4 linked regions of the Diceros bicornis minor genome follow. The protein of the gene in region 4 interacts with the protein of the main gene of each other region in a biochemical or structural test. Links are inferred from orthologs where the notes say so. Each region holds a gene or a part of one and is shown on either strand. Other genes may lie near its edges. The genes, in order: UBE2F, DDB2, UBE2G1 and RBX1.

Region 1 (7,128 bases), on a different chromosome or scaffold from region 4:
CAGCAGCTCGGGGTCCACAGGTTTGGATCCTGGGCGTGGACCGACGCACTGCTTGTCAGGCCATGCTGTGGCGGCGTCCCATATAAAATAGTGGAAGATGGGCATAGATGTTAGCCCAGGGCCCATCTTCCTCGGTAAAAAGAGGAGGATTGGCAATAGATGTTAGCTCAGGGCTAATCTTTCTCACCAAAAAAAAAAAAAAAGAAACAAAAACAAAAACAAAACAATGCACAGCCCTTGTTAAAATGTGCCCAGCACTGCTTTAGGGTGAATGATGAAAATCTGAATCCTATAATATTTAAAAGACCACTCTGATTCAGTCCTTTTCCAGAATAGCTGTCATGGCCCATTTTATTATTTTTTAAAGGAATAAAAGGACACATGATGTTTTCCCTGGGGGCCAGTTAAAACAGCAGTCAAAAGTTAATTATACCAGATATGTAATTAAAGTCACATTACTTAGAATCTAATTGTTGCCTGGGTAGCCCCTTACATCATCATCATCGTCACCATAATTTGAGCCCCCCCAATGGCAAGGAGTCTGTCCCCTCGCTGATACCACAGAGGATCCCAGGACTGGGTCACCAGAGGGGCCGATGGGTCTTGGTTAAGACAACCTCTCCTGTTCCCCATAACCACTTCCAGCCACTCTTTGTCTGGTCTCATCTTTGCCTCATCCTCCCCTCTCCAGAGCACTTTCACTAGGAAAGGCCCAATAAAGCTTTTCCTAAAAATAACGTGACCTGTTTCCACTTTTAGCAACAGAAAGCACCAGTAGCACGTTGGGTTTTGTCCATTAGTTTTCAGCCTCCCCAGATGAATTCTAAGGCAAGGGCTATGGTCAGCATAGCTATTCTCCCTCCCTCCTTCTGCCAGCAGTCTCTCAATTCAGGTGGGACAGCGGAGACTCTGATCTCCGCTATGTGGAGCAGACCTCAGGGGTCACAGCTGAACCCCCCATTCTATAGTGACTTCCCGAGTACTAGTTCCCCAGGGAGCTCATGCTTCTGGAGGGCAGAGTCTGCGCTTTATATATTCTGTACCCTCTGACACTCAGTACCAGGTAGGTACTCATCATATAGTTCCTGCTTATTGAAATAGATTTCAGAAGACCCCGTAGGGACACAGGGCCTATGTGTGTCCACTGCTGTCCAGTGCCCTGGGCCTTGCTCCCCGGGAGAACTGGGGCTGGCTGGAGGGCAGGATGCATGTCCTGGAATAACCTAGAACGACAAAGAACAGGTTAGAGCAGGTACCAGCTGAGGGCGGAGTTGAACCCTTCCACCCACATCTACTCCCCATCTAGTGTCGCCAGGGCTGTTTCCCAATTCACGCAAGGGGTCAAGTTTGGAACATCACTAAGGTCGTGCCCCAGGGAAGGCTTGAAGTGCCTAGGACAGTGTGGGGCAGAGGGAGTGGCACAAGTGGACCTGGTGGGCCTGGCTCTGATCTCAGCTCACCCAGGCTACAGGTTTTACCTCTCGGGGCAATTCTCCACTGAAACACAGAGCCAGGAATGTCTACCCAATGGGGTGCCACTGATGTGGAAGATCTCTGCTCCATCCATAGTGAGTGCAGGAGGGAAGAGCGGAGTGGATGGCTAAGGAAGGTGTCCCTCCCCTGGCTTTCCTGGCAGAGGTCACTTTTCCTGCCTAGGAGGCCCTACCCTAACCCAGCAGGCAACCAAGCCCTTGCACTAGGCATTGTCACTCAGCTGGCAGGCTGCCTCAGGCTGAAGATTATCCAGGGCCCTGGCTTGGTGGTACCATGTCATCCAGGTCAGGGAGCCCCGGACCAGGCCAGACAGCCTCTGAGATAGCCTGTGCAGTTGTGTCCAGAGGCAGGCCTGGCTGAAAACAGAGAGGGGATATCTCCCCTTCCACGGCCCAGCTGGAAGCCTTGGGTTGAACTTCTCGGGGTAGGCATGGAGGAGGTAGGAAGGACACCTGGTGAACTGTCTCTACCTGCTCTTCCTCTGGCACCAGCACCTCTTTGGGAGACTCACAATTGAACCTCTACCCTTCCTCCCATACACAATGCCGTGTGCACACACACACACACACACACACACACATGCACGGTGGGCACGTGATCCTCCAAAGCCCAGCCAATCCCTCCCAGTGAATGTGAAAGAGGGAGGGAAGGGGCAGCCCCTTCTATGGCCTGGATTGTAAAGATGTGTTTGAGGCCAGGCCCCAGCTCCAAGGAGGCATCTGGGAGGACAAGGCTAGCCCCCAGAGGCCAAGACTCTTGGAGCCACTGAGAGCGACAGGCCAGGTTCCCCGGTTCCTAGAGCTGACCTTCTTTAGGTTCTGTGAGCATACCCAGCCTTCTAAATCTTTTGTGCTTAAGCTAGTGAAAGTTCTGTTTTTGAAGGAGCCCGGGATGAAAACCAATTGCTTCTGCAGGAAGCAGGAGGGCCAACTTTGCCCCTTACCTGCCTGCTGGCACCACCAGCTGCCTAAGGGGCGTGGTGCACCAGTTGAGGGCAAATCCTAGCTGCCATATTGGGCAGACTACTTCCTTATCTTTAAAATGGGGATAATAAAATACCCGTTTCAAGAGGTTGTTGTAAGGATTACATGAGTTAATAATCTAGTAAACCCTAAATAAGCCTCAGGTGAAGACATGAGGCAGCCTCATGAAATGGAGCTAGAAATGGCTTTATATATCCACAACGGTGAGCTGTGGGCCACTGTGCGGTGCAGCCCATCCTGTAGACAGTGTTCCCAGTGAATAAGATGAGTACTCAAGCCATTCCAGTCCTTCCTTCACCTGCCGCCTTGCTTCAAGGCCTTATTTTCTCTTGCCAGGTCTCCTGCAATAGCTCATGCAATACTTATCCAGCAGATGTATTATGTCCACCTGTTATGTGCCAGGATGGGGGGAGGGGGAGTAGAAGGAGGGAGAACACAGCAGAGGAGGGCCCGGGGAGCTGAGCTTAGGGAAATGGTAGGGGGGCGGGGGGAGCACAGGGCTCCAGTAAAGTCACAGAGGGGCACCTGCACCTCCCAGTCTCTGGGGCCTCTCTGACAAGTGGTGTCTAAGCTTGGGAAAACTCAAGTTAGCCAGGTGAAGAAGGAGGAAATCATTCCCAAACAGAAGGGATACCATGAGTTGTGTGTTCTTCACTGGTCTTCCTGACTCTACTCTCCTCACTGCCTGGCTCCCACTGCCTCAGAGTCAGAGCCTCTTTTAGAAAGAAAACTTGATATTGGTACTCCACTGTTTAAAACCTTTCAATGGGGCTTCTGGAAATAAGATTCTAACTTCTTGGTCCACGAAGTGAACCTCATCTTTCAGATGGCCCACTCCTCCAGGAGCCCTGCCCGACCTGCCGCCCAGCCCGCCCCCTCCCCCGCCCAGCGCCTATTACCAACCACACTGGGACACAAATGGACGTGAGAAGAATTCGTACTCAACAAGCTAGAAATACAACAATTTGAAACAGATTTTTAGAGTAAGTACTTTACCAATGTGGAAGAGATGAAACAGGAATAAAAACCATTAAGACAAAGGCAGGAAAGGCCCACCCACTCCTCTGCGAGCTCGGCCGAGGCACCCGGGGGGTTGGCGGCTGTTGGCACGTCTGGCCGCCCCGGCTCCCGGCCCCTACCCTGCCGGCTGTGGGGCAGCCCGGTCCTCCGCAACCTCGGCACTGCGCTGGGCACACAGAAGACGCCCCATCCGCCGAGGCGGTTAATTCCGGCCTGGCCGCTCCTCCAGGCCAGGCCGCACAGGGATCCTCCGAGCCCCACGCCCAGTGTCAACGCACCACCAACTGAATGGAGGCAGGAACGCCGCACAGAACCCCCGGGGCCGCGGCGCGCAGGCTCCGGTACAGACGGGAGACCCGCTCCCGGCCGTCACTCGCCAATCAGCGAGGGCCGCGAGATCCGCGCCCGCCCCCGGCCGCGCCCTCTGCCAATCAGCGAGGTCCGAGCAGCCTGCTTCCCAGCCCAGCCGCAGCCGGCGCACGGCGCTGTTCGCGCGTCAAGTTCCAAATAAAGTTCTTCGGAGCTTTGAATTTTTTTTTTAAAGCGCCAGCTGCAGCAGCGGCCGCTGCGGGCGAGAGCGGCCGAGTCCCCGCCCCGCCACTTCCGGTCCTGCCGCCCGGAGCCGGTGCGGCTGTGAGGGGCCGCGTCTTGCCGCTGCCGGCCGGCCGGGCATGGTGTTGGGCGCCGGGTCCGCCTCGCCTGTCTCGGGGTGCCCAGGTGAGGAGCGCGCGGCCCTGCGCGGGCGAGGGGCTCCCGCGGCGCCGGTGCACCGGGCGGGTGGAGGGCGGGCGGCGCCGAGGCCGCCTCAGGCCGTGCCGCCCCTCAGGACCGGGCGCCGGGGGCCCGCGGGCGGGTGCCGCGGGGCGCAGGCGGGGGGCGCGGGGTCGGGCGGCGGGAATGGGAAGGGCCGGGTCGGGCGCTGCAGGGCGCTGGGACAGCCCCCCCTCCCCCGCCCCCCCCGACCGTGATGCCGGGTACACACGGCCTCACGCCGCCGTCGCGGGGAGCTGCTGGCCGCATTGTCCAGAGGAAACGGAGCGCGAGTGCTGGGCCAAGGTCACCAGCCCGACGGGGCCGGAGGAAGCGGGGCTCGGACGCGGGCGGTCCGACTCGGGACTGCCTCGGGGATCAGGCTAGGCCGAGAGGGCGAGGTGGGGGGACACTCCCGCCTAGCCGGCGTGCTCGCAGCTTCCCCACGATGGGGGTTGGGGGTGGGCACGGCTAGTTTGAAGGGTTTTGCTGGCCGGGAGACGGGGAGGGCATCTTGGAAAGATCAGTACAGCCGAGTCTTGGATTCTAGACCTGGCTCTGCGGGTGTGTAATCTTGGGTGTGGCCCTCTTCTCCCTGGGGCTCAGTTTCCTCATCTGTCACATGAGGGGATTGGGCCCGCCCCCTTCTGCATTCCCTCCAGCGCTGGAGTGGGGTCAGGATGGATCGGAGGGGCCTGAGAAGGCTTCTTGGAGGGGATGTTGGAAATCTGGGTCGGAATCTGTTACCCTAGGGAAGGAGCGGGATTAGGTGGCGAAGGGAACGAGGGCATTTCAGACCTGGCTATCACATTGAGCAGAAGCTTCCAGAAATGAGCAGGGAGTTGTTGAGGAACAGGGAGGATGCTCGCCTGCCTTGTGCAGAGGATTCCCTGCTGGGTAAGCGGATGAAGGCAGGGGAGAGGGTAGCAGTGGGAGAGATGTTCAGAGACAAATCATCACCAGGCTAGGAGGTCTGAGGCTTGAGGACCTCTGCCAGGACATACCTGCCATTCAGGTAGTGTGCAGAAGGGGGCAGGTTTACTGCTGAAAATAAGAGTTGGGCTCCAAAGGTCGGTCAGCCAACCAGGGTGACTCCAGGTGGGAGGTTCCAGGGCCCCAGCATTCTGAAGGAGGAGGGTAGGGTGTGGACTTTTTTGTGTCCTGATTTGGGCCTCTTTGGCTGGAGAAGTTGGTTGTCCCCTAGTGTCCTGCAGTTCCATCTTTTACATTGAGATTGGGACTTTTCCACTGCAGGAAGAATTGTAAATGAGAAGTTCCCCACCACGTGAGCTGACTGGCCCGTGATGTCCATGCACAGGTGACATGGCCTGATTTTGCCGCTACAGGTGGGAATGTTGTGTAAATATTACTTGGTATGATGAGACTAGTAAATAGCACATAAGAATCTTCTTTGAACAGTCTGAAAGCAAGACCCACCCAGAAGAGGAACTTAACCAGGCCAATTACAACTTGTGGAATTTACAGACTGAGCATGCTGTTCAGTATAGCTGGTGCGTTACCAAAAATGCTGCCATAGTCAGAGTGTCATTTGCAGTAAAGGGGAAGTTTAGTTTTAAAATAGCTCTTTAAGGAATGAAGCATATTGAAGAAGGTAAAGAGAATTCCGAAGCAACTGCAGGTGTTCAGCTAACCTCTAGACTCTTTGAATAATTGTTTTTATTCAGATCTCTTTTATAGTGTTAATTTAACAGCTATGAACATTCCCAAATTTGTCCTTTGGTTTATCCCTAAAATGTCATGTCATAATGGTAAAGATGATGGAGAAGTAGATGGTCATTACATACATAGATTTTTTAGAATGTTAGGAAAGTGAGTTTTGTCTTATCTTCTATGGAAAACAAAACACCAGTGTTTTCTTTTGTATCTTGCCTAGTCAATTAATAAGGGCCACAGACTTGTTGAAGATCACAAGCCAGGAGTCTGTCTTTAAGTAGAATTGATTGAGTATGGAGCATACTCTGCCCACGGAGAAGAATTCATTGTGGGGTAGGGGTATAAAAGAATTAAAGGGGCTGGCCCGGTGGTGCAAGTGGTTAAGTGCGCGTGCTCGGCTGCGGCGGCCCGGGTTCGCTGGGTTCAGATCCCAAGGGTGCACCGATGCGGCGGCCCGGGGTTCGCTGGTTCGGATCCCCGGGGCGCACCGACGCACTGCTTGGCAAGCCATGCTGTGGTGGCTTCCCATATAAAGTGGAGGAAGATGGGCACGGATGTTAGCCCAGGGCCAGTCTTCCTCAGCAAAAACAGAGAGGATTGGCAAATGTTAGCACAGGGCTGATCTCCTCACAAAAAAAAAAAAAACAAAGAATTAAGCCGAGTCCTCAGACTGCAGTGACACAGAAGAGTGCCTTGGTATGAGCCTTTATTTGTGCGAGTGAGTCTTGCCAGGACCCTCTGAGTGGCTCCTTCGGTGCAGGTCCTCAGGGAGCTGGGTGTGGACTTGGCATGTGCCCTAGCACTTGCTTTCCCATGGGGCTCTTTATTATGACTTTCCTAGGGTACTGCCTGCTGAACTCTCTTTATGGACACTGTTCTTTTATTTTATTTTTTGGCATATTTGTATTGCTAAGGTTGGCTAGAGGATAAAAACCAAGTGGATTTGTGTGGTGCATCCAGCCAACTCCCAAGTGATGGATGCATATCTTGGCCCATCTTCAGGCGCCCCTGACGATGTGGTAGGACCGATGCTCAAGTCTGGGTGTGTGGCAGTGGACTTGGTTGGGAAGGCAAACACTGCTTTGTGATCCAGATCTGCTTAAGGGATTCCTGACAAGATCATTCCAGGTGGGGGCTGAGCAAGAGAGCCTGCTCTAGATGGTCCTGCTGTCTCTGGTAGCTTGTGGGCTGGAGCCCCCACGGGTGT
Region 2 (7,825 bases), on a different chromosome or scaffold from region 4:
CCCTGTTGTTAAGTGACACATGACTGTACACTATCCTCCAATGTTAGCTCCCAGCTGGACAAGCTACGGGTCTTTGGTGGAAGGGCCAACACCCTCACCCCTTGGCAATTGATGATAAACCCCAGCACGATTAAGACCATCCCTAATAAATTCTATGCCAAACCTTGCCCCAAAACAGCCTTTCCCCCTTTCTCTCCATTTATCTAAATATTGTTCTTCCTCACTCATCCATGAAGCCCTCTCTACTGACTCTAATTCGCAAGAGGTTCTTCCTTCTCTTGTGTTCTGTAGCATTTAGCATCCATACTGCTAGTTATCTTGTATGTATACATTCCATCTACCTAGTTACACTTCAAGCCTCTCATTCATTCAACAAATATAAAGCAGCTACCCTGCGCCATTGTTCTAGGCACTGGAGATACAGCGGTGAACCAGAAAGACAAGGTCCCTGCCATCACGGAGCTCACTTTCCAGGGGACAAAGACATACAAGTAAGTAAAACATTTTAGATATGATAAACATTGTGGGGGAAAAGTGAAGCAGGTAATGAGATAGGGAGTGACTGGGTGGGATGGGGGCTACTTTAGGCAAAATGGTCAGTGAAAGCCTCTTTGAAAAAGTATATTGAGCTGAGACCTGAATGGTAAGAGGGAGCCAGCCATGAGCAAAGACAGAGCAGTCCAGTCAAAGGGAACAGCAAGTGCAAGGACTCAGTTTCAGGGATAGAAATAGCTAATATGGCTAAAGCATAGGAAGTGAGGAGAGACAGCAGTATAAGAGTCAAGGTCAAGGAGGTAAGAGGAGGCTTAGATTCTATTCCATGTGGTGACTTACTGGAGGGTGGTAAATATTTTATACTACCTAATATTTTAAGGGCAGGCATTCAATAAAGATTTGAGTATCACAACCATTTACTTGTTTGAAAATACCCACGGTTACTTTTGATCCCAATCATCTCTTTGTTACTGGATGACTTTTCATTCCTTCAACAAACACTTCTTCAGCACTATCATCTGGCCCAGGGAACTGCTCACCCCTTTAATGAAGGTGGGTTTGTCCTTTGTGCCCAAGTTCCAGAGCATGATATCTCCCCCTTTGGAACCCACAGCCAGGGTGCTGGGGTGAGTTGGGTGCCATGCCAAGGAAGTGGCCCTCCTGTCAAAGGGGGCAGCCTTTTGGAATATCCGGTAAGAAGCCAGAGAGTGCAAAAAGGACTGCTGGAGACCCTGACACAGAGAGAAAAGAATTAAGATGAATTAAAACCCAAGTCTTGGATAAACTGCCAATCTCTGCCTCCTCCATAGATAAGCCCCAGGGCCAAGTCCTCCCACCAAAGGAAAACTAACTGCCCGGCCCTGTGCATGGAAATATTTGCAAAGTACATGAACTAACCTTCGAAAGCAAAGGGGCAGAGTGCATTCCAGCTGGGACCTTTATGGCATAGGACTTCTACCTGGCTGAGTGCCCGTAGGCCAGTCACCAAGATAGGGGTGATTTGACCCCTCTGACAACCCGCTGAACCAACCTAGCATCTAACTTTGGAGCATCCAGTAGGAAAAAGGCACCATGCAAACCCTTGAGTACTTCAGCCAGGAAGCGCCTCACCTGCTGTAGTGATGACCAGGAAGCTCTGCCCAGCTTATGCTGGTGGAGGGCCCTGACGATGCTGCTGCATGGTGGCGGGACCTGCAGACTAGCCAACTCCGCCCAAAGGCAGCTTGAGTCAAATCTTCTGCTAGAACCTGCCAAGCAGAACAAACATATTTTCCTCTCCGATCCCACTCAAGAAAGGTTTTTCTGCTGAAATCCCAGAAAGCCTGTTGTTTCATTCAGCATGGCCAATCTCTCTCATCACCTCCTAAGGCCTTTCCATGGGTGGCTCAGTCTCATCCAGTACAAGAAATAAATAGTGAGTAGGAATTCAGCCCGTTCCCCAAAATAGTCATTGCAAAATTATATACGATCTTGCAGGGTTCCTGAGAAATGAGTCAAAGAAAAACACAATGAAGTATACTACAGAACTCTTCCCAGTTTGGGTTGGAAACTCGTGATAGGGTCAGGTGACAGTTTTAAAATCACATAAAATGCACAATAAAAAGATTTTAGGACAGCATAGTGGAAGTGACTGTTTGGGATAAGCAGTATCTTTAAATCCTATACTAAAATAATGTAGAGGTGACCCGTTGGTGTCCCCAAATCCAATCTGTTCTCCTGAAAACCAGCAGGATCCAGAGGGTCTGGCAGGGCTGTAAATTAACCAGGCTACTTTTGGTGAGGTAGATCCACCTAGAATAGGAATAAAGCAAGTCTGGATTACCAACAAGTATTTGAGGATCTGATCTCTATGAATCCCGCCTCTTGACAACCAAATTCTTTCTTCTCATGGACAAAAAACCACTTAATCAACAACTCCCTACTCTAGTCTTTTGAGTCCCTCACACTCCTCATAGCCCCAGGTTCAAGCCCGGACAAATCCCCGAGAATGAGTTTCGAAGGAAGGAAGGAAGGAAATGGAGCGCTCTCACAGCTGAAACCAACAACATACTGCTAACAAGCGTGACTATCGAAATTCAGCGCGCACACACCACCAGGCAAGGGAGGATTATTTTAAGCGGTCCTCGGTGTATAAAAATCCCGGTACAAACAAGGAATTTGCCAAGTCCGTTGTGTCTGTTGTAATGGAGCTCATCTGCCTCTTGCCATCACCTGAGGGGAGTTAAGCCCAAACTCTAGGGTCTCAAAGGACCTGCAGACAAAATGCATAGCCTGAGGCGTCCAATCCTTGGGACAGCTTCAGGAATTTAGGAGCACCCATCCCCCACTCCAGCCTCCTGCGTGAGAACCCCACATGGCAGCATTATGAAAGCAGCAGGCGCAGGCAGTACCGGGGCCCTTCGCACAGAGCTTTTTGGCCTCGGGCTCCAGCTCCCTGGGGCTTCTGCTCCTCTTGCTCTTGCGGCGCACAACCACCTCGGGGGTCTTCTGGGTTTCTGGGCGTTTCCTGGGAGCCATCGCGTCCTCCGTGCGAAGGGGTACTGTGCTCTATGCCGAGATCATAGAAGGAAGATTGAGAAGCCTCTGGGGAGAAACAAGGCGGAGACCAGAGAACCCGCTGAGCCACAGGTAGGCCAACTAAGCCAACTTCCCGCCAAACAGGCTCACCGCGAGGGCGGGGGCGCGCGCGGAGAGACGGGAAGTGTGTCAGGGGAGGGGCTCACCCGCTCCCTGGAGAAATGATGTATCGCCTACGTGTTGGGCCTGAGCTGGTCCAAGTCAGCTGACCCGCCAGAAAGAAAGATGGTTACCCGCCCTGGGCCACCCAACCTGAAGCCTCTTCAGACGCGGCGCTGCCAGGCCTTTGCGCGTCCTCTAGAGACCGGGTGCCAATCAAGGCTTCGCCTCCACCTTCTCTACCTTCTAATTGGTGGCCACGCCCGCCTGAGCTTTGTGATTGGCTGATCTGGTACAGTTGGAGAGAAGCGGCTTTGTAGAAAGCTGGCAGGTTCCTTGTGATGGAAAGCGAGTACTTCTCATCGGCCAGCGTTGTCGTAGATGTCGAGTAGTACTTATATCTCTCCAGCTCCGTCGAATCTCAGCTGCTCTGTGGAGAGTGGTTGAAATGCGCACCTTTTTAAGGTTTCCCCAAACTTGCTGTCTGCCTAGGGAGCAGCCTGGGGCAGTCATGGGCCGGAGGGCGTGAGGCTAACTGACGGGGCTGAGGTGTTGTGCCCTGACTTCAGCCAAAGGCCAAGGCAGCCAGCCTCATAGGTAGCCCGACAGGAGACAGTTCGGATGCAGCCTACTTTTTGCGACGAGCCCGGCAGGAGCTGGGGTTAGTCTGGACAGCTGGTCCTTTCCTTCCACCGGCTAAGCCAGGTGCCAGGCGCTTTGGGAGGGTGAGAGGGGACAAAAATGCATTAATGGTAGATCCTGCACTCGAGGAGCTTTCAGACAGGTAGGGACGAAAGACAGTTACAAACAGAACTCTTGGAAGGAAATGAATGCTCCAAAAGAAAAATTGGAAAAATGCTTTCTTGGTGGAAAGATCAGCCCAGCATGTTAGAAATGGCAACCACTAGTGGGAAAGGCAAGCTGGTGGCTTCTCCCCTGCTGGCCTGTAGCTGTGTTTTCAGGGCTGTGTTACAGAAGCAAGCTGCCCCTCTTACTCAGACCGGCCATTAGTTTCACCTCAGTAGGGTGCTCAGTTCTGGGGGATCCTGAAGTATAAGAAACGACCCTACCTCTAAAAGGTTTACAACCTACTGAGACGACAAAAAATACATGTGAAACAACTCAAACAATTCAAGATGGAACACAGCTGAGTACCAAATTGTGGTATGCCAACCAAGACATTTAGATGCATTCAGAAAAGATAATCCAATGGAGAAAGTAGTATTTAAGAAAGACTCAGGGAGGATGGGATTTCGTGGTGCTGGCTGGGGGAGGGAGAACATCCTAGGAGGAGAAACAGCTTGATAAAAGTTAGGAATGGGTGTGGGTTATGAGAAAAAAAAGCAGCCCCTGGCATCTGGCAGCTGGCCTGGTACTATTAGCTAGGTCTTGGTGTTCTGTCAAAGTAAACAATCTCACAAAATATCTACACCAGACAAGGCCATTGTGTGACCCTGAGAGATCAACAAAAACGTGATCACTCATGTCTGAACACAGGCAAAAGTATGAACGTTGTCCAAATCACAAAGATGATGGAACATCTCCCTATTATTTTGGCTAATATGAATGACTGCAGATTCTTTGCCAATCACAGCTTTAGCTTTGCTTCATTCCTCCCACCTTATAGACAAGATGTATTGATACTCAATCATAGAATTACCGCCATTTTCTGACAGCCTCCAATCCAGAGCAAAGCTCCACTTCTTTGAACCCTTATCCAAATCATCTAACACAAGCCAATACTATAAGTTCTTTCTCATACCTTCTTACAGAGATGTTTACCATTCCCCATGGTATGCATCCTCTGTTGCAATGAGCAATAGACTCGAAGTTGAGCTATAGGAGAGTCCCTGATGGTGTTTGGCTTGGGAGCATTGACATTTATGAGTAGGGTAGGAGGCAGCTTGAAGAGGAGAAAATTGACCACATTGAGGATCTGTGCAAAGTGAGAGAGGCCAGATAAAGGGGGAAGTTGAATGGCAGGCAGAAGAATTCACATTTCATTCATTCTACCTACATTGATCAAAAACCTACTCTGATCCTGGCATTATTCCAGTCAAAGGGAATGCTGAAATGAAAAATGCTCTTTGCCCCCATGGAGTGTGCCTTTTAATAGACAACTAAACCTACAGCTACAATAGAGTGTGATAAGTTTAGTGAGAGAGGAAGCATTGGGCTCTGGTGGGGTAGGGGGCACAGGATAACTTTAACTCAACTTGGCGTGGGGTAAAGAAGAGATAGTGTCAAGGAAGTCTTCCCCAAGAAGGTGACACTTAAGCTGAATCTTGAGAGATTGAGGAAAGGGAGGGGAGGGGAGAAGGGGAGAGTGCTCCAGGAAAAAGGGGTAGGAAATGTAGGGGCCGGCCCCGTGGCTTAGCAGTTAAGTGCCCGAGCTCCACTACTGGCGGTCTGGGTTCGGATCCCGGGCGCACACTGATGCACCGCTTCTGCGGCCATGCTGAGGCCACGTCCCACATACAGCAACTAGAAAGATGTGCAACTATGACATACAACTATCTGCTGGGGCTTTGGGGAAAAAAAAGGAGGAGGATTGGTGATGGATGTTAGCTCAGGGCCAGTCTTCCTCAGCAAAAAGAGGAGGATTGGCATGGATGTTAGCTCAGGGCTGATCTTCCTCACAAAAACAAACAAACAAACAAAAAAAAGGAAATGGAAAGGCAGGAAGGCAATGATTAGCCATGATGGATTCATGAGCAAAGGTCATGTCCTGCTTAATGCCAGGTTTCCCCAGAATCCGTTTTTAGGACTGGGGAGTTTTCTTTTTCGTTCTTTCTTTTTTTTGCTGAGAGAGATTTGCCCTGAGCTAACCTCTGTGCCAATCTTCCTCTAATTTGTATGTGAGTCGCCACCACAGCATGGCCACTGACAAGTGGTGTAGGTCCGTGCCCGGGAACTGAAACCAGGCCGCAGAAGCAGAGCATGCTGAACTCAACCACTAGGCCACAGGGCCTGCCCCAGGACTGGGGAGTTTTCCGTGGTGGATTCACAAAACCACGTGTGAGCAGTGGAAACCTGCCTTGCACATGCTAGTAACGTGCTTTGTTTCAGGTTGTGCTTTAGGGCATCCTTACCCTGGGTTTCACTTTGTTTCACCACCAAACAGCTGCCTAGGGACCTGATGTCATCCATTCCTGTCTGATGAACCATCAGATGCAGGGTGGACAAAAGCATTTAATATGTTTTTTTTTTTTTTTTTTTTTTTTTTTGGTGAGGAAGATCAGCCCTGAGCTAACATCCATGCTAATCCTCCTCTTTTTGCTGAGGAAGACCGGCTCTGAGCTAACATCTATTGCCAATCCTCCTCTTGCCCCCCCAAAGCCCCAGTAGATAGTTGTATGTCACAGTTGCACAGCCTTCTAGCTGCTATATGTGGGACGCGGCCTCAGCATGGCCAGAGAAGCGTGCGTCGGCGTGCGCCCGGGATCCGAACCCAGGCCGCCAGCAGCAGAGCTCAGGTACTTAACCGCTAAGCCACGGGGCCGGCCCTAATATGTATTTTTTGATGCTGCTAATCTGATAATGAGGTGAATGGTGCAGCATCGCTCCGGTTTCACGCCGTGGGGAGGCTGTGCCATGAAACCCTGTTTATAGGTGTTTTGGTTCTATCTATGACACTACTTTTGATGTAAGGCATCACAAGGCAGTTCATTCAAAAGCTGCTGGTGAAGCAAATCAAGGTCTCGTGTTCACACTGTGCTGGGCAGACCATGAGCATGACCCTAAATAATGCCACTTTCTTTGATCTGTAAAACAATACGTGGCTTAGGTGTTTTCTGGAACGAATAATATAGCACAGTGGAAAGAGCATTGTTCTTAGACTATGTGATCTTGGGTCCATCGTGTCACTTCTCTGTGCCTAAGTTTCCTGTCATAAAATGAAGGGGAGGGAATAGGTGGTCTGTCAGATCCCCTCCAGTTTTAAAATTTGTGATCCTGTGACTTGCTGTTAAAGCAGCAGAAACCAGTGACAGCTTTCATCTCTGGCCTCCTTGTGGGAAGTTTCCATTTAGCAGAAATCATTTTCCTGGTGCAGGCTGGTACACGACTCTGATTCTGATCAAGCTGTCTATGGATCCAAATGTTCTGCTGAGTCTGCAAAACCACTCATAATCCACTCGGGTGGTGTGTGCAGGCTTCCCACACACACTGACTGCATCCAGTGGTTTGCAAATGACAGCCTCAAGGATTCTGCAGAGCTTGCAAAGAACTGAAGTTTAAATTTCTCCTAAAGGATTGGAAACAGACTGAATACAGCATCCAGGGTCCTTGTTGCTTGGCATCTGCAGTACATATTTAAATGCCCAAATATGAATAAATTCATAATAATGCTAAACGAAGGCTCGATTCCTACCCTCTGGGAATAGTATCCATTTTCCAAAACACAATTTTGGGTAGCTTTGGAAGTGTCAGACAGCTGTGTAAATACCAAAGAAAAAAAACCCACCTTCTGTCTTTGTTGTGGGGGATGAGGCACCATCCACAGACTAAATCAATATCCTGTCATGACATACCATAGGTACAGGATGCCAGGAAACTTCTCCAGACAGCCAGATTTGCAGGGCAATTGCCAGAGTGCTGAAATCATATATGTGAAAGTGCTTTGCAAACTGTAAAGTGTTCTACAAATAGACGT
Region 3 (6,934 bases), on a different chromosome or scaffold from region 4:
ATAGGCCCACAGAGCAATAACTAACTGGCCGAAAATGTCAGTATTTCCGAGGCTGAGAAATTCTGCAACCCAAGGAACCATTCTGCTCAACTCTGAAAGTAACCAGGTTCTTCATTACAGTTACCATCAAAACAAAACACACACAATAAATTCTCCCCTCAAGTAATTAGTAAAATCCTTAAGGACTGGGAGACTAGGGGCTCAATAAATGTAACCATTGTTGGCCACTGCTGTTGGAAGTTTCTGAAATTCTAGCAGTTAGAATGGCTTACAGGTTTGTGGGTCTACTCAATTCAATACATTTCAAGATTTTTAAAGCATTTATTGTTAAGCCTTCCAAAAGTTCACTCTAAATGCTTTCAAGAGATTACAGTTTACCATTCTTTCCTGTTTTCAAATGATATTTGAAGAATCACAAAGCTCAAACAATGTACTGCGAAGATATAACAGGGCCTTTTTTTTTAGTATGTAGTTATTAAGTCTTTCCAATAAACTTGATATTTTTACATTTCACTTAATGCACTGCCTTGGCCTACTGTTTTGTACATTTTCAGTATGTTAATTAAAATCCTTCACAATTTTAAGAAAATATTAAGAACAGTCCATTGTTTCTGATCAAGAAGGCAAGAAAAATTAATCAGCAGCTAAATAACTTTATAATGAGGCTTGAAAAATTACAAACTAAATCATTCTCTCCTCCAACCTTAAAGTATATTTTAGTGTGCCTTATCAAAAAGTCAACCATTAATCAAGAGGTTTGGGAAACGTTTCATCAATATCTGGGATTAATCTTGTCAAAAAAAAAAGAGTGTAAAACTGAACCAAGTGACTTATCAAAGTCTATAGCTGGTTCACAAACGGGTAGGAAACAGTTTTGAATATTGCTACTGCTAACACTGTTATTAGTCATACTTTCTTAGTAACTTCGTAATTTCTTTTACACCTTTTAAAATGTGTATCTTTCCCATTAAGAGTTGAGTACTATTTTAATATTTAGTATTTTAATACTGTTTAATAGTTCACCACAAAATAAAAACTTATTCTGATTAAAGAATTCTCAGGGAGACAAAAGAACATTTTAACTCCTTCCTCCAAAACAAACTAAAAAATACACAGAAAAGTAAGATGTGTTTGCAAATACAAGGCGCAATAAAGTTGTTATTCTTTCATTGCTTTTCCAATATATTATTCCTGATGGACATAGGTATCACTAGTATTTCTCTTTTCATGTCAAGCCACTCCCCCTGAGCATCTAAAACTTTACTTTTCCAATATATTATTCCTGATGGACATAGGTATCACTAGTATTTCTCTTTTCATGTCAAGCCGCTCCCCCTGAGCATCTAGAACTTTAATACTTGTCCAAACCTGCTTGCTCATGGTCTAATAATAAACCTAATTATACAATCTCGAACAGCCGCTGACAACCTTTTCCTTAAGAAGCCATAAAGGTGATTTAACTAACACCTCAAACTCTTAGTAAATCTATTTCAAAAATAGATTTCTTCATTGCAGCCTTTGGCTTCTCCCGAGGGCTAGGACTGCTGTCCGTAGAGAGTGGGGAGGTGAAGATAAGCCTGAACTGAGAAGGACACACACTGGGCGTTGGACAGCAGGGGTAACTGCGGGTTCATTTCTCTTTAAATCTGGCAGCACGTGGGGCGGCATTGTGAAGCCACCAACCCGCCTCCCCCCTTACACTCCGCACACGTACGTCTCCAGTGCGCATGCTCCGCGCACACAGTCCTAGCAGAGTAGGAGCCAACCCCCTAAAAAGTCAACCTGGAAGCCGCAAACGGCCGGAGGCTGGGACAATGGGGGAGGGGGACGCAGGCACCTCTGGGGAGGCCGGCCCGGCCGCCGCCCCGAACCGGGGCCCGCAGGCCGCAGCCCCGCGGTTCCGCAGGCCTGCGCGGGGGCCGGAATCGCTCCGAGCACAAAGCCCGGCGCCGGCCAGCCAGCGGCCGTCCCCTCTTGCCCGCTCCTACCCTCCCCCAGCCGGCGGCGCAGCCGGAGCCCGTGCCAGGCGGAGGCAGGCGAGGCGCCGTCCCGCACCCCGCCAGGTTCTCGGACCCCGCGAGCCCGCGACGAGGCCGCGGAGGCCGGCGCTTTTGTTGTCGGCCACAACTCCTCGGACCCGGCGCCGCCCGGGCAGAAGTTTTGCGCGCCTCACCGGGCCAGGGGCCCGTCTCGCCGCCCACTCTCGCCCTGCTGCCCGCCCAACGCTCAGACACCCGCGCCGGGGGCTCACCGCGGGCCGGGCCCAGACCTCCCTTCAGCCCCAGGGTCCGGCGGCCTCGGCCGCACCTGAGCCGGGACCCGCCCCTCTAAGGAGGGTCGGCTGGGCTGGGGACCCACAGCCCCTCCCCCGCCATGTCCCACCGAGCAATGGGGGAGGGGGCAGGCTCCCCTCCTTCCCCCCGGGCGCCAGGCCCGTCCCCGCCCCCAATGCCCTCCGAAAGCCGGGGAAGAAGTGCTGGGCCCGGCCGGGACCGGCGCCTCGGGCTCCCCACCCTCGCAGGCCCGCACCCGGCCTGGCCGGTGGCTGCCGCTCCCCCTCGGCCGTCCGGCCGCCGGCCCGGGAGGAGGGGAGGAGGTGGCGGGCAGCGGCTCGCGCGATCGCGGCCCGGCCGGCGCCCCGCCGCCCGCCCGCCCGCTCACCTGCCAGCTGTCTTCGCAGTAGCAGTGCAGACTGCAGCTCCGTCATCCTCCCCGCCAAGGGCCCGGGCTGGCGCCGGGACTTCCGAAGGGCTGGGGACAGGCTCTGGGGGCTGCCGGAGCTGGGTGTGCTGAGGAACCCGGGCCCCCGCGACGGGAGCGCCGAAGCCGAGGGAGGCCGGGCTGGGGCGGCGGGAGCGCTGCCTCGCTGCCGGCGCGAGTCCGCTCCGTTCAGCTCTCCTCACAGCGCCCGGAAGGGGAGGGTACCCGGGCCGCCGCGGCGCGCACTGGGACTTCGCTCGTCCGCTTCCCTCCTTCAGCCCGCCCGTCGGCCCCACCGGTACCTTCCCCCGCCACAGCCTCACTGCGCGGAGGGACGCTCCGCGCAGGCGCGCTGGGGCTGCCTACTTCGCCCTCGGCCCGCCCGCAAGTCCTACCCCTCTGCTTCCCTGCCCCGCCCCCGGCGGCGGAGTCCCGCCCCTTACGCGCAGTGGCCCCGACCGCCGCCATCTTGGGAAGGTCGACGCCCGACTGAGTGCTAGGGCCTCTGGTGGTAGACGCCCCGCAGACGCCATGACAAAGAGGTCGCGCAGGGTCAAGACGCCGCCTCCGGGTTGAAGCAGGTGGTCTGACACTGAAGGGGCCGAAAGAACTAGTAGATGTCTAGCTGTTGGCCAGCGCTCGACAAGGTCTAACCCTCCACACATGGTGTGCGAGCTAGTCATTGTTAAAGCCGAACTTAGTCCTGGTGTGTCCCGTTTTAGGCAAACCCCCAAAATAGGCTTAATATGCTGTTCATTCACTTTGCAGAAAGAATGCACAAAGAGTCTTGAAATAAGCAAAATGTTCGGCATCTCATAGTACTAGATGTTTAAGCATCGTTAGTAATAATCTCTATTAGTAGGGGAAGTTGAGATTAGCAAAATCGGGTACAGTATACACAATTCAGAATGTCGTCCAGAAAGGCGTCTATTATGTCAAGTCAAAGTGTGGGATCTAGGGTTTGGGAGAAGCAACCTTTCTCCTCTCTACCTCCTCTTTTCCTCATTCCTGCAGCCTTCTGTTTGATAAAACAGAGTCTCAAAAAAGAGATGGAGCAGAAGGGAGACTAATTCCTCATGGCACTCAAATTTATCTTTCTTCAACAAATATTTATGAAACATGTATTAACTTTGTACACAGAGAAATACAGCTCTGTTCCTGCCCTCAAAGGGCTTACAGTCTCTGTGAGTTCCAGGTAAGGGAAAAAGCCCGAGGAGGAAGAGGTTCCAATACAGTTTTTTTATTATAAAAATTTCTGAAAAAACTGCCCTCACTTTCCCCCTAGAAAGAGAATTAAAAGGAACAAATAAACATTGTGAGTGAATCTGAACTCTTTGGAATAACAACCCCCACCCCCGCCTCGGGAGTTAACCTAGGTTTTGTGAAGCCTAAAGTTTATGGAATTTGAAGGACTCTCTTTAAGGAAAAGAAAAAATAAAGTTCAAAAATGACTATTTATTTAGAATGAGAAAATAAATCACAAATAGGCTTGGGTAATTCGTCCCTTTCTCTGAGATCTCTTTAGCCGGGTCATCAGAAATGCTGCCTGGTTGCCACACAGCTTCCTCTCTCACCCAAAGCAAACTCCAGCGCTCACGCAGTCTCTGAAGCTTCCTTAGCTTTACCATTAAAAAATCCATTTCCCTCCTTTCTGGACCAAACTCCCCTCCTTTCTGGACCAAAAGTCTTTCTTTTTAAATAAATTTTTGATTTTATCAAAGTCGTAAATACACATAGATAATAATCAGTGTATTAAGGCTTACAGGAAAAAAGAAACATGCTTTGTCACACCCCTTCCCCATTCCTAAATCCTGCTTGCCAGAGGCAATCCCTTTTAACTACTCTTTTAGCAGTTTCTTCCGGTAGTTACCTTCATTTATTCTAAATGACATACTTATAGTACTTTGTCTTGATTTATCCAGTTTAGACCTTATATATTTATTCTTGCTGTAACCAATAAGAATTTAACTATCTTATTTCCATCCTTTATTTTCCTAATATCATTAAATCATCATATTTAGTTATATCAATGAATAGTTTTTACACTATTGTGACTTTGTAAATGTTGAATAGGAGAACCAAACACTATAGTGGATTATAATATTTATTCCTTACACAGATTTTTTTCTGGCCTAGAGTTTCTAATTATACTTTTTGTCTTGCAGTGTCTTGATTATAATCAATATCTTTCCCCTCCCAATCCTACCCCATTGCTACTGTATTCTATCAAGCCCTTTTTCTTGGAAATCTCTCTCCTGGAAGCTTCTATATTACCTCTCTAATCTGGGCTCGTTGCTTTGGGCCATGCCTCCTACATAGAAGTTTTCCTAGGATTCCCTCTGACTGCTCTCCTGGGCTAAGTCTACTGCATCCTGGATCTCAAGTATAATTCTCTTTTAACTCCCTTCTTTTGCTGGAGCATATTATCAGATGACTCTGACAAGTGTATTTGAGACAAATTTTCTAAGTCCTTATATGTCTAAAAATGCCAAAATTTTAAACATCTGTAATTTCATACCACTTTATCTGGGTATCGAATTTTATGTTTAAAATCAAATAACTTTTCTTCAAGAATATGAAATCATTGGTCCATTGTCTTCTAGCATCCAACGTTGCTGTTGATTCTTGTTCCATTGTAGCTGGCTTTTTTTTTTTTTGATGAGGAAGAGTAGCACTGAGCTAACATCTGTTGCCAATGTTCTTTTTTGCTAAGGAAGATTGGCCCTGGGCTAACATCTGTGCCCATCTTCCTCTATTTTATATGTAGGACACCTGCCACAGCATGGATGGCTTGATGGGCAGTGCATATGTCTGTGCCCGGGATCTGAACCTGTGAACCCCAGGCCGCTGAAGTGGAGCATGCAAACCCAACAATTATGCCACCGGGCTGGCACCCCCAGCCTATTTTTTTTTCTTCTTGGATATTCTTAGGATTTTCTTGTTATATCTGATATTTTAAAGATCATGATAACATGCCTTGGTATGTCTATAGGGTGTTTTCTTTTTTTTTTTTTAATAATTTTACTTATGTATTTATTTTTTTTCCCCCAAAGCCCCAGTAGATGTATGCCATAGCTGCACATCCTTCTAGTTGCTGTATGTGGGACGCGGCCTCAGCATGGCCAGAGAAGCGGTATGTCTGGTGTGCGCCCGGGATCGGGGCTGGGCCGCCAGCAGCGGAGCGCGAGCACTTAACCGCTAAGCCACGGGGCGGCCTGTGGTGTTTTCTTTTTTTAATTCACTATGCTCAAAGTGAATTTTGTGGTGATATAATGGTTGTTTTCATTTACATTTAGAGATAAGCCTGGAATAATGAGATAGTCTGCATTTTCCTGGTGTATAAAAAATTATTTTAAACAGCAATTGACTTTTGTATGTTGATCCAGCAACCTCACTAAACTCTAAATTAATCATTTATCTGTAGATTATTTTCTTTGTTTTTTAATTTATTTTTCCCCCAAAGCCCCAGTAGATAGTTGTGTGTCATAGCTGCACATCCTTCTAGTTGCTGTATGTGGGACGCGGCCTCAGCATGGCCAGAGAAGCAGCGCGTCGGTGCGAGCCCGGGATCCGAACCCGGGTCTCCAGCAGTGGAGGGCGCTCACTTAACCACTAAGCCACGGGGCGGCCCCCTGTCTTGTTCCATTCTTAAAGGGACTGTTTCACTGTTTCATTATTAAGTCTCATGCTGTAGATTTTTTCATAGATCCTTTTAACAGGCTAAGAAAGCTCCCTTCTATTCCTTGCTTATTAAGATTTATTTATTTATTTATTTATTTATTATTATTTTTTTTTTTTGTGAGGAGATCAGCCCTGAGCTAACATCCGCCAATCCTCCTCTTTTTTCGCTGAGGAAGACGGCCCTGGGCCAACGTCGGTGCCCATCTTCCTCCACTTTATATGGGACGCCGCCACAGCATGGCTTACCAAGCAGTGCGTCGGTGCGCGCCCGGGATCCGAACCAGCGAACCCCGGGCCGCCACAGCGGAGCGCGCGCACTTAACCGCTTGCGCCACCGGGCCGGCCCAAGATTTATTTTTTATAATAATTTCCAAATCTTTATCTCCAGCCCAGATGCACACCCAACTGTCTAACCCTATATTCATTTATTAACAAATGTGTGTTGAGCACCTGCTATGAGCTAGAGGCGATTCTGAGACCTGGGGTCTGGGAGTAAGCCAGGCAGGCCAAGTCCCTGCCGTCGTGGCACTGACATCCAGTGGGAGAGGACAGT
Region 4 (7,747 bases):
TAGATTATGTATGTGCTTGCATGTGTGGCTCACATTTAGATTGGACAGTGTTGGGTTAGACAAAGGTAATGGGGAAAAGAGGCAGAGAATATTCCAGGCAGAGGGAATAGGATATGTAAAGGCTCTAAAGAAGAGCATGCACACTTGGGGAATGGAAAGAAAGCCAGAGAAACTACCAGAGTGAGCAGGAGAGTGGCTCAAGATGAAGCTGGAGAGGGAGGCAAGTGATTTAGGAACTAAGTGCCTATCATTTCATTCTAGAAAGTTGAAATTTCTTTGCCCCATTTCTGATCTCAATAACAAACCATTTTAGTACCTGGATGAAAAAGTAACCTCAACTGTTCCTGGTGTGATCAACATTCTTGCCCCTATTACTACAAGGATACTCAGTCAGTCCATCAACAGCTATCATCAAACCTGCTATGTGTAATGGAATATGTGGAGATTTACATGAAACTTCTTTAGTGCAGTTAATTGCCTATTTAGATGTTGGCAGTGATGTCCTCTTAACTCTGTCTGGGGCTAACACTGAAAATCCTTCCTTCTTAGGCTTTTCTTTATAAATCTTACCCAGCAAAAACTAGCTCTAGATAGAATATTTTAGCTCAAAGTTTATTTTCTTTCTTTCTCTATTTCTGCCTTTGAGTCTGGGTATAAGATGGGAAATACAGAGGAATAACCAACAGTGCCTCTGTGTCCATAATTCACTCTAAATGTGGCCTTGCCATCTTTAGATGGAGTAGATTTGAGAGATGGGTATGCCTCCAGGACATCATAAAAACTACTCTATTTCAAACATACCAATGGACTACATGCAGAAGAGCCCTTGTGAAGAAGAAAATTGGTCACATCAGGATAGCCACAATCTCTGTAACCTTCTCAACTTCCTCCCATCCTCCTCCAATTACTTACAAAGATCCATAATGTGGTTCCTGCAGATGGCACAGTTATCAACCACAATATCCCAGGCCCAGAGGGCTACTGCATTCCACTGCAAAGAGAAAAAGGGGGAACAATGCACTCTACTCTCCTTGTAACACACACACACACTCACACTCTAGGATTTCATGCTGCAGCTGCAATTATCATCTCTTTGGCCACAAGGACCACCAAACAAAAGAGCCTGGGGATACTACATTACTCTTATTTATTATATCCGAGGGCAAAAGTAGGCTACACATATGCTCATTTATTCTCCAAACAGTTGAGTATATAAACACAGAAATTAATGAGTCATCTTTTAATTTTATTTTTTCCTACAGCTTAAAATAATTTAGTCAGCCATATCAACGTAAGCATAATTTGTAAGTGCCTGTTTTAGGTTTAATAAGCACAAACTTGAATTACTGTGCAGGTTCCCCAGGCAGCTGCAGAAGAGCTCAATTTCTGCATAAATAAATATCTGTTCTTCAAGGCAGCTTTGGAAGCATGAGTGGGGAGGTGAAAGCTAGGAACAGAACGAACTAAGATGATGATTGGATCATAAAATGGGTAATCGTGGGATAAGCTGGATAACGAATTACCCATTGTCAGTGCAGAGAACAAGGTCATGGCTTCAATCTTAAAAGATTACTTCTCAACAAACTCTAGAATTCACTAGAATTTTGTTTAGTTCCTACCATCAAATAAACTACTGTTCTCAACTTTTACATGCTCAGACTCTTATATTTAGTTCAAATAATTCCATTAGGAGTTTATCTAAAAAGTGGTATTTAAGTAATTCAACCTTCTGGCTTCTGCAATTATAAATGTTCCCAAACTTCTTTTCCATCCACTAATTTGATGCCACCTCCCAAACCTTCATCTCTTTCAATCCCAATTCTCAATGTCTAGTAACTTCTTCAGCACGTTTCACCCGACAGCTTCAACTTCGAGGAAAAAAATCCTACTTCTTTTATTCTTCAATATGGCTGCTGGCTGTAACTGAGCATGCAGTGCCCACAATGAAAAGCCAAAAAGCACTAGGAGGGGGAATATTGTCAGTATTCATCCAGATGTTCCAGGAATAACATCGTCCCTATTTCAGAGTCTTCATTTTGAACAGATTCACTTTATCTTAGGTAGGAATCGGCACTTTTCTCCCAAAGTGTTGGCAAACCACCATAAGGCGTTTCATGCAAAAAGACACGTTCCACATTTCTGCTTTCCCACTTCCACCAGGTCGTTCAAAACTAGTACACAACCCTCCTTAAATGACACAAGATTTGGGCTCGCATTTTCTTTTTAACAAATTCCACCATGGTTTTTTTTTTTTGGATAGGGAGATTCTGGATATGACCACAGGATTGGGGCGGCTGTGTGGCAAACCAACAGACCTCTCAGAAGAGCCAAGAGTTACACTCGAGACACTAACTCGGCGGGGATGAAGGCCAGGGAGGTGGCTAATGGAGGCCTCGATTAGGTGAGGACCGGGTCGGGGTCCCTCAGAGTCAAGAGGGACCCCAAGCTTCGGAGAGGGGCGGGGCAAGGAGGTCGCCAGCCCGGCTCCTCCGAGACCTCCAATGCGGTAGGACCTCAGGTTCCCGGCTTTCGCCGCACTGCCCCATCCTCCACCCACCGCACCGCTCCGACTCCCCCTTCCACCCACCCCACCCTCTCCTTCCCCACCCTTCCAGCACTCCAGTGACAGCTCAGGCGCTTGGCTCCCGCAGCCAAGCCGCAACCCCGCGTATCTCAATAAGCACGTCCGTGATTGGCCCCTCAGCCTCCGAACGAAACCAATGCTGCCAATGACAGTGGGCCCCAGTCACGCCGATCAACGCTAAGACCCGCCCCCCGGCTTCCTTTCGTGGTACCCGGTCTCAGGAACGCCCTGAAATGAAGCCCTTTCCTCTGCGCCTCGGTCATCCTAGGGCCTGCCAGCCAGATCCGCGCCTCTCTAGGTCCCCTGAGGAAGGCGCTGGCGAGACCCAACCTTTTTCACTTCAAAGCGCTTCTTGCCCGCGCCGCTGTTGGTGCCGCTCGGGGTATCCACATCCATCGCTGCCGCCATTTTGGAAACACACGGTCTGTCGTCCGGCCACTGCGCCTGCGCACCAGCGCACGCCTCGCTCCCCCTCCCGCCCCGGCGCCTCCTCCCGCACCTCACCCCTTACAGGCGCGCGAGGGGCAGGTGGGGCGGAGCGTGTGGCCACGCCTCTTAAAGGCGCTGGCGCAGGTCCCCCCGCCCCCGTCGGCTGCGGAGGCGGCGGCGGCGGCTGGGGCGGGGCGGGGCCGGGCGGGGCCGAGGCGACGTGAGCGAGCCAAGTGGAAACGTTCGAAAGGACTCGCTCTCGTCGCCCTCCCCGGGGAAGCCCCCGGCCACACTCTCTCAGCTGGGGCGGCGGCTGCTTCCTCCGCCTCGGCCGAGACCTGCCGCCCCGGCCCCGCCTCGCCTTCCCGGCTGCCGCGCTCTCCCGTGCCAGCGGGGCTTCCGCCGCGGAAGGGGCGAGGGTGGACGCCCGCCTCCTGCGGCCGAAACCCGAGACCCGACAGTGGCCTTTCGCAGTTCCTGACCCTCTTCCGAGCCAGGTCCGAGGTGCAGCCTCCCTGGGAGGCTTGAGGCCGGGGCCCGGGCACCGTTTGGTTTCCTGATTCCAATTCGGGGAATGCTCAGGATCCGACGGGGAGACGGGAACTCCCCGAATGTCCTCCCCAGGGCCAAGCTGAGCAGATATTCTCCAGCCCTGCCTTCACCTGCCCACCTGAAGTAGGTGGAGGATGCTTAGGAGCCTGGGAGATGCCGTCTCTAGGTCTCGCGAAATACCAATCCGTCCTAGAATGGGCTTTGGTTAAGGTACAGGATTTCAACTTCCCGCACATTCCCCGTTGAGCACACGTTCCTCGTTCCTCAGTTGGTCATCTAACTGTGGGGTCCTTTCTTCCTAATTTCGGTCGTCTTCCTGCTCCTTGTGCTGAAGTCACATCTACAGTCGCTGTACTTCTTGAATTTGTGTGAGGCATTCTGCCATTTAGTCTTACTGGTCATTCCTTCGCAGGCAAAGCACCTATACTTTACCTCACTCCCATTTCTAGACCAGGCCCCCCTTTTGCGTCTCTCACCTTGCAGAGATATGAGTCAGCTAGATCACTCTTACCTAAAAATCTCACATTTTCTCTTAGAATTCGAGAGTAATGGAGTGTGACTTCATTGGTAAACTGGAAGAACTTCCATTTCTTTCCTCATCTTAGTCATAAACAAGAACAACAGATCCGTGAAACCACCACCACAGCTTTAACTGGACTCGGAAAGAGAAAAATTGTGTGAGACCTTCAAGCATTATAGAAACCCTACAAAGTTTTTCTTAGCCCAAGTTTTGTTAAATTAATGATTCCATGTTAAGATTTCTGTCATCTAATTTATTGTGTTCCTCCAGGAATACTAGAAACCCATAGTAAATTAAGGTACTGAGGGCATATTTATTCATTCAGTGTACCAGGTCCTGTTATAAATAGGAGAGACACAGTGATGAAGGAGTCAAACTCCTAGTAGGGAAATAATACCGGAGTCAATAAATACATCAGAAAATCTCGGATATCAAGTGCTATGAAGAAGACAAAACAAGGTCATGAGATTGAGGGGAGATGGAAGCAACATTCAATTGGGTGATTAGGTAAGGCCTCTATGAGGAGTGACAGTTCAGCTGAAGTCCTTATGAGGGCCTAAAAGCCCTGCGTGATCTGCTACATTCATTGTTCTGTGCTTATCTTCTTCTTCTGTTTTTTGGCTGAAGGAAGATAAGCCCTGAGCTAACATCTGTGCCAATCTTCCTCTATTTTTATGTGGGTATCTGCCACAGTATGGCTGACAAGTGGTGTAGGTCCTTGCCTGGGAACTGAATCTGCAAACCTGTGCCACCAAAGCGGAGCATGCCAAACTTAACCACTATGCCACAGGGCTGGCCCCTCTTCTTTTTTTAATGGTACAGGTACCTTCTAACACATTTTTTCATTTATTAGAGTTATTGTTTTTTCTGTGTGCTCACCAAGAGAGGAGATTTTTGATTGTTTTGTTTACTGGTAACAAAAACTGGAACAGTGCCTGGTACATTGTAGGTGCTCGGTATGTGTTGAATGAATAAATCGGAAGCTTGTTGAGCAAGGGATTTGTGGTAAGAGATGTCAGACAGGTAGGCAGGGGCCAGATCAGGTAGGGATTTTATTGCAGATGTTGTGAGAAGGCATTGGAGAGAGAAAGTAGGGGAAGGGACTAACAGTGACATAATCTAAGTTTATAAAAATTTTTAAGCTTTGTGAAGAAGGGATTGTAGGGATACATGAAGCAGCAAAATTTGCGAGTTGTTTCCTTTGCACCGAGCTACAGAGGGGAGATCGTAGGGGCGGTTCCATTAAGCCTTGAAAACCTCATGTGCTTATCTCTCTTTTGGAGATTTGCCTTACTGTGGCAATTGGCCATGGAATTCTGTATGCTAGGTTCTGCTGCTAAACCTAAGAAAACTTTTTGTGGACTCCATACTGATTCCTATCCTGCATAATTTCATTCCATTTACAATGCAATAGGTGGTAATTTTACTTTAGTTCTGTTCCTTTCATTTATTGATCCATTCATTCAACAAATATTTCTAAAATATCTACAGAACCTGCTGTGTCAACTACACCATGCTGGTCTAGAAAAAAAAGGCAATTGATATTTTAAGTACTTCCAAAAGGTCTCTTTCATCACTGAACTTATGGGGTAGTAGGAGAGAGGCAATAGTCAATTAATGATAATCCCAGTGAATTTTAGGAAAGGGGAAGTACAGGGTGCTTAGAAGCAGAAAGCAAGTCTGGGGAGCGGGAGGAAGTCCTCTTAGAGGAACTGGTTTGAGATTGAAGGATGAACCAGACGAATGGATGCAGTGGTATGCTGGTAAATGTTTAAAAACCACCTCTAAAAATAAAGTCTTGATTTGTAGCTTTAATAGCCAGATTGCAAAATTCCTGAAAGTTTAACAATTGCTCTTGTAAGCTGATGCAACCTGGCTGTTAAAGCTACAAATCAAGCACTTGCACACAATGAGGGATGTGGAAAAAGAAGGCATTCCAGGTAGAGCCAACAGAGTGCGGAAAAGGCTGGAAGCTGGAGAATGCATAGTGCACTCGTAAAGAAGCCTGGAATGGCTGGAGTATAAAGAGAGAGAGAGTGGTATAAATGAGTCTGCAATGATGTGCAAGAGTCAATTGTTAGCATCTCCTCCCAATTCTGTATTTAGCGACATCATGTTGGTAGCTTCAAATTGGCCATAATAGTAGTATTTACACCATGGAGATTAGCAAACACTACAGATCAGGGCTCCTCCTACCCCTAGAGTTGGTTGTTAAACATTTACCACTGGTAGGGGCCAGGTCTTGCAAGACTGTTCAGTAGAGCCATGCAAAGGGTTTGGGTCTTTATCCTTAGTGATGGGAAGCCATTGAAGGATTCTAACCAGTGAGTCACATGGTCAGATATGTCTTTTAAAAAGTTCTAGGCAAGACTTCCACTTCTGGGAAGATGGAGTAGACATACTTTTCCCTATTATTCCCTCTGAGGATGACTGAAATCCCTAGACAGGGTATATTGAAAAAAAAAAAAGAAGACTCTGAAAGGTGGAGAGAAGAAGGCAGACCAGTTAGGGATCTCAGGACTTGAGGAATGACATGGTAGTGAGTTCTCTGTGTTTTCTTTTTACTTCATACATCCCAGACTTGGAGCTGAAGAAGGTGGCAACCCAGAAATGCCAATAAGTGCAGACCAAAAAAAAAAAAAAAAAAAAGACCCAACAAAAGGCTGCTTTCTCTAGCAAATGGAAAACTTGTAGACAATAACTGCCCTACTCCATCCAAACAATACAGAAGAAAATGTGGCCCACTCCCACCCATGTCAGCAAAGCTGTTGGGGAGTCTGTTTTGTACAGCTCGCAAGTCTGTAACCAAGTGCCCCGACACCTGCGCCAGGGTGTGCAGGCTAATTAGGGAGTTGGAACTTTTACCCCTTCTGGCTGATAAGGTGCTGCTCTACCCCTGTGGTGTAAGAGAGGACCACGAGGAGGTCTGGACCTCCACTCCCACCGAGCAGTAATGAGGCACCCCTTCCCCTCCCTGCTGGGATGGTATTGGAGGAGACCTAGTGGAAAGTCAAGGCTTTCACCAATCATTATCCATCAAGAATGAGGCCATCCCCACTACAGTGTCAGTAGAGACCATGCGGGAAGCTAGAACTCCCACCCCTGCCCAGCAGTAACACGGAGCATCCCCACTCTTGGGTGTTAGTGGGGACCCAGTGGGGAACCTGGACTTCTACCTTCACCCTCTCCTGCTGGAGCAGTATCAAAAAAAAGCCAGAAGGTTAAAACAGAAGGTTTAAATAAGACCCAGAGTCTCATAACATAGTATAAAGATGTCCAGTTTCAGTTGAAAATTGCTCAACTGACCCAAGACTCTGAGGTCTCAAAGTGAATGAAAAAAGCCTATCAATAGATGCCAACACCAAAATAGCAGAGATGTTGGAATTATCTGACAAAGATTTTAGAGCAGCAATGATAAAAAAATTTTCAATGAGCAGTTACACACAAGCTTGAAACAAATGAGAAAATAGAAAGCCTCAGCAAAGAAATAGAAGATATAAAGAAGACCCAAAAGGAAATTTTATAGCAGAAAAATGCAATAACTGAAATTAATATCTCAGTGGATGGGCTCAATAGCAGAATGGAAGTGACAGAGGAAAAAAAATCACTAAACTGGAAGATAGAACAATAGAAATTAACCAGTCTGAACAAAAGAGAGAAAA

The links.
Region 1: the proteins of RBX1 (region 4) and UBE2F form a complex in vitro, tested with the Homo sapiens proteins (2 studies listed by BioGRID). The link is inferred for Diceros bicornis minor from reciprocal best matches to the Homo sapiens genes RBX1 and UBE2F.
Region 2: the proteins of RBX1 (region 4) and DDB2 form a complex in vitro, tested with the Homo sapiens proteins (2 studies listed by BioGRID, with this or other methods). The link is inferred for Diceros bicornis minor from reciprocal best matches to the Homo sapiens genes RBX1 and DDB2.
Region 3: the proteins of RBX1 (region 4) and UBE2G1 form a complex in vitro, tested with the Homo sapiens proteins (8 studies listed by BioGRID). The link is inferred for Diceros bicornis minor from reciprocal best matches to the Homo sapiens genes RBX1 and UBE2G1.

What each region holds. Positions count from the first base shown.
Region 1 is NC_080776.1:25,402,307-25,409,434, forward strand, and holds the start of UBE2F (NEDD8-conjugating enzyme UBE2F), read left to right. Parts: upstream 1-4,108; 5' UTR 4,109-4,214; intron 4,215-7,128. UniProt on the Homo sapiens protein: Accepts the ubiquitin-like protein NEDD8 from the UBA3-NAE1 E1 complex and catalyzes its covalent attachment to other proteins. Together with the E3 ubiquitin ligase RNF7/RBX2, specifically neddylates cullin-5 (CUL5).
Region 2 is NC_080770.1:23,170,410-23,178,234, forward strand, and holds the start of DDB2 (DNA damage-binding protein 2), read right to left. Parts: upstream 3,013-7,825; coding exon 2,886-3,012; intron 1,743-2,885; coding exon 1,606-1,742; intron 1,227-1,605; coding exon 1,035-1,226; intron 1-1,034.
Region 3 is NC_080757.1:13,461,328-13,468,261, reverse strand, and holds the start of UBE2G1 (ubiquitin-conjugating enzyme E2 G1), read right to left. Parts: upstream 3,009-6,934; 5' UTR 2,708-3,008; coding exon 2,662-2,707; intron 1-2,661. UniProt on the Homo sapiens protein: Accepts ubiquitin from the E1 complex and catalyzes its covalent attachment to other proteins. In vitro catalyzes 'Lys-48'-, as well as 'Lys-63'-linked polyubiquitination. May be involved in degradation of muscle-specific proteins.
Region 4 is NC_080764.1:9,389,897-9,397,643, forward strand, and holds the start of RBX1 (E3 ubiquitin-protein ligase RBX1), read right to left. Parts: upstream 3,010-7,747; 5' UTR 2,993-3,009; coding exon 2,915-2,992; intron 992-2,914; coding exon 913-991; intron 1-912. UniProt on the Homo sapiens protein: E3 ubiquitin ligase component of multiple cullin-RING-based E3 ubiquitin-protein ligase (CRLs) complexes which mediate the ubiquitination and subsequent proteasomal degradation of target proteins, including proteins involved in cell cycle progression, signal transduction, transcription and transcription-coupled nucleotide excision repair.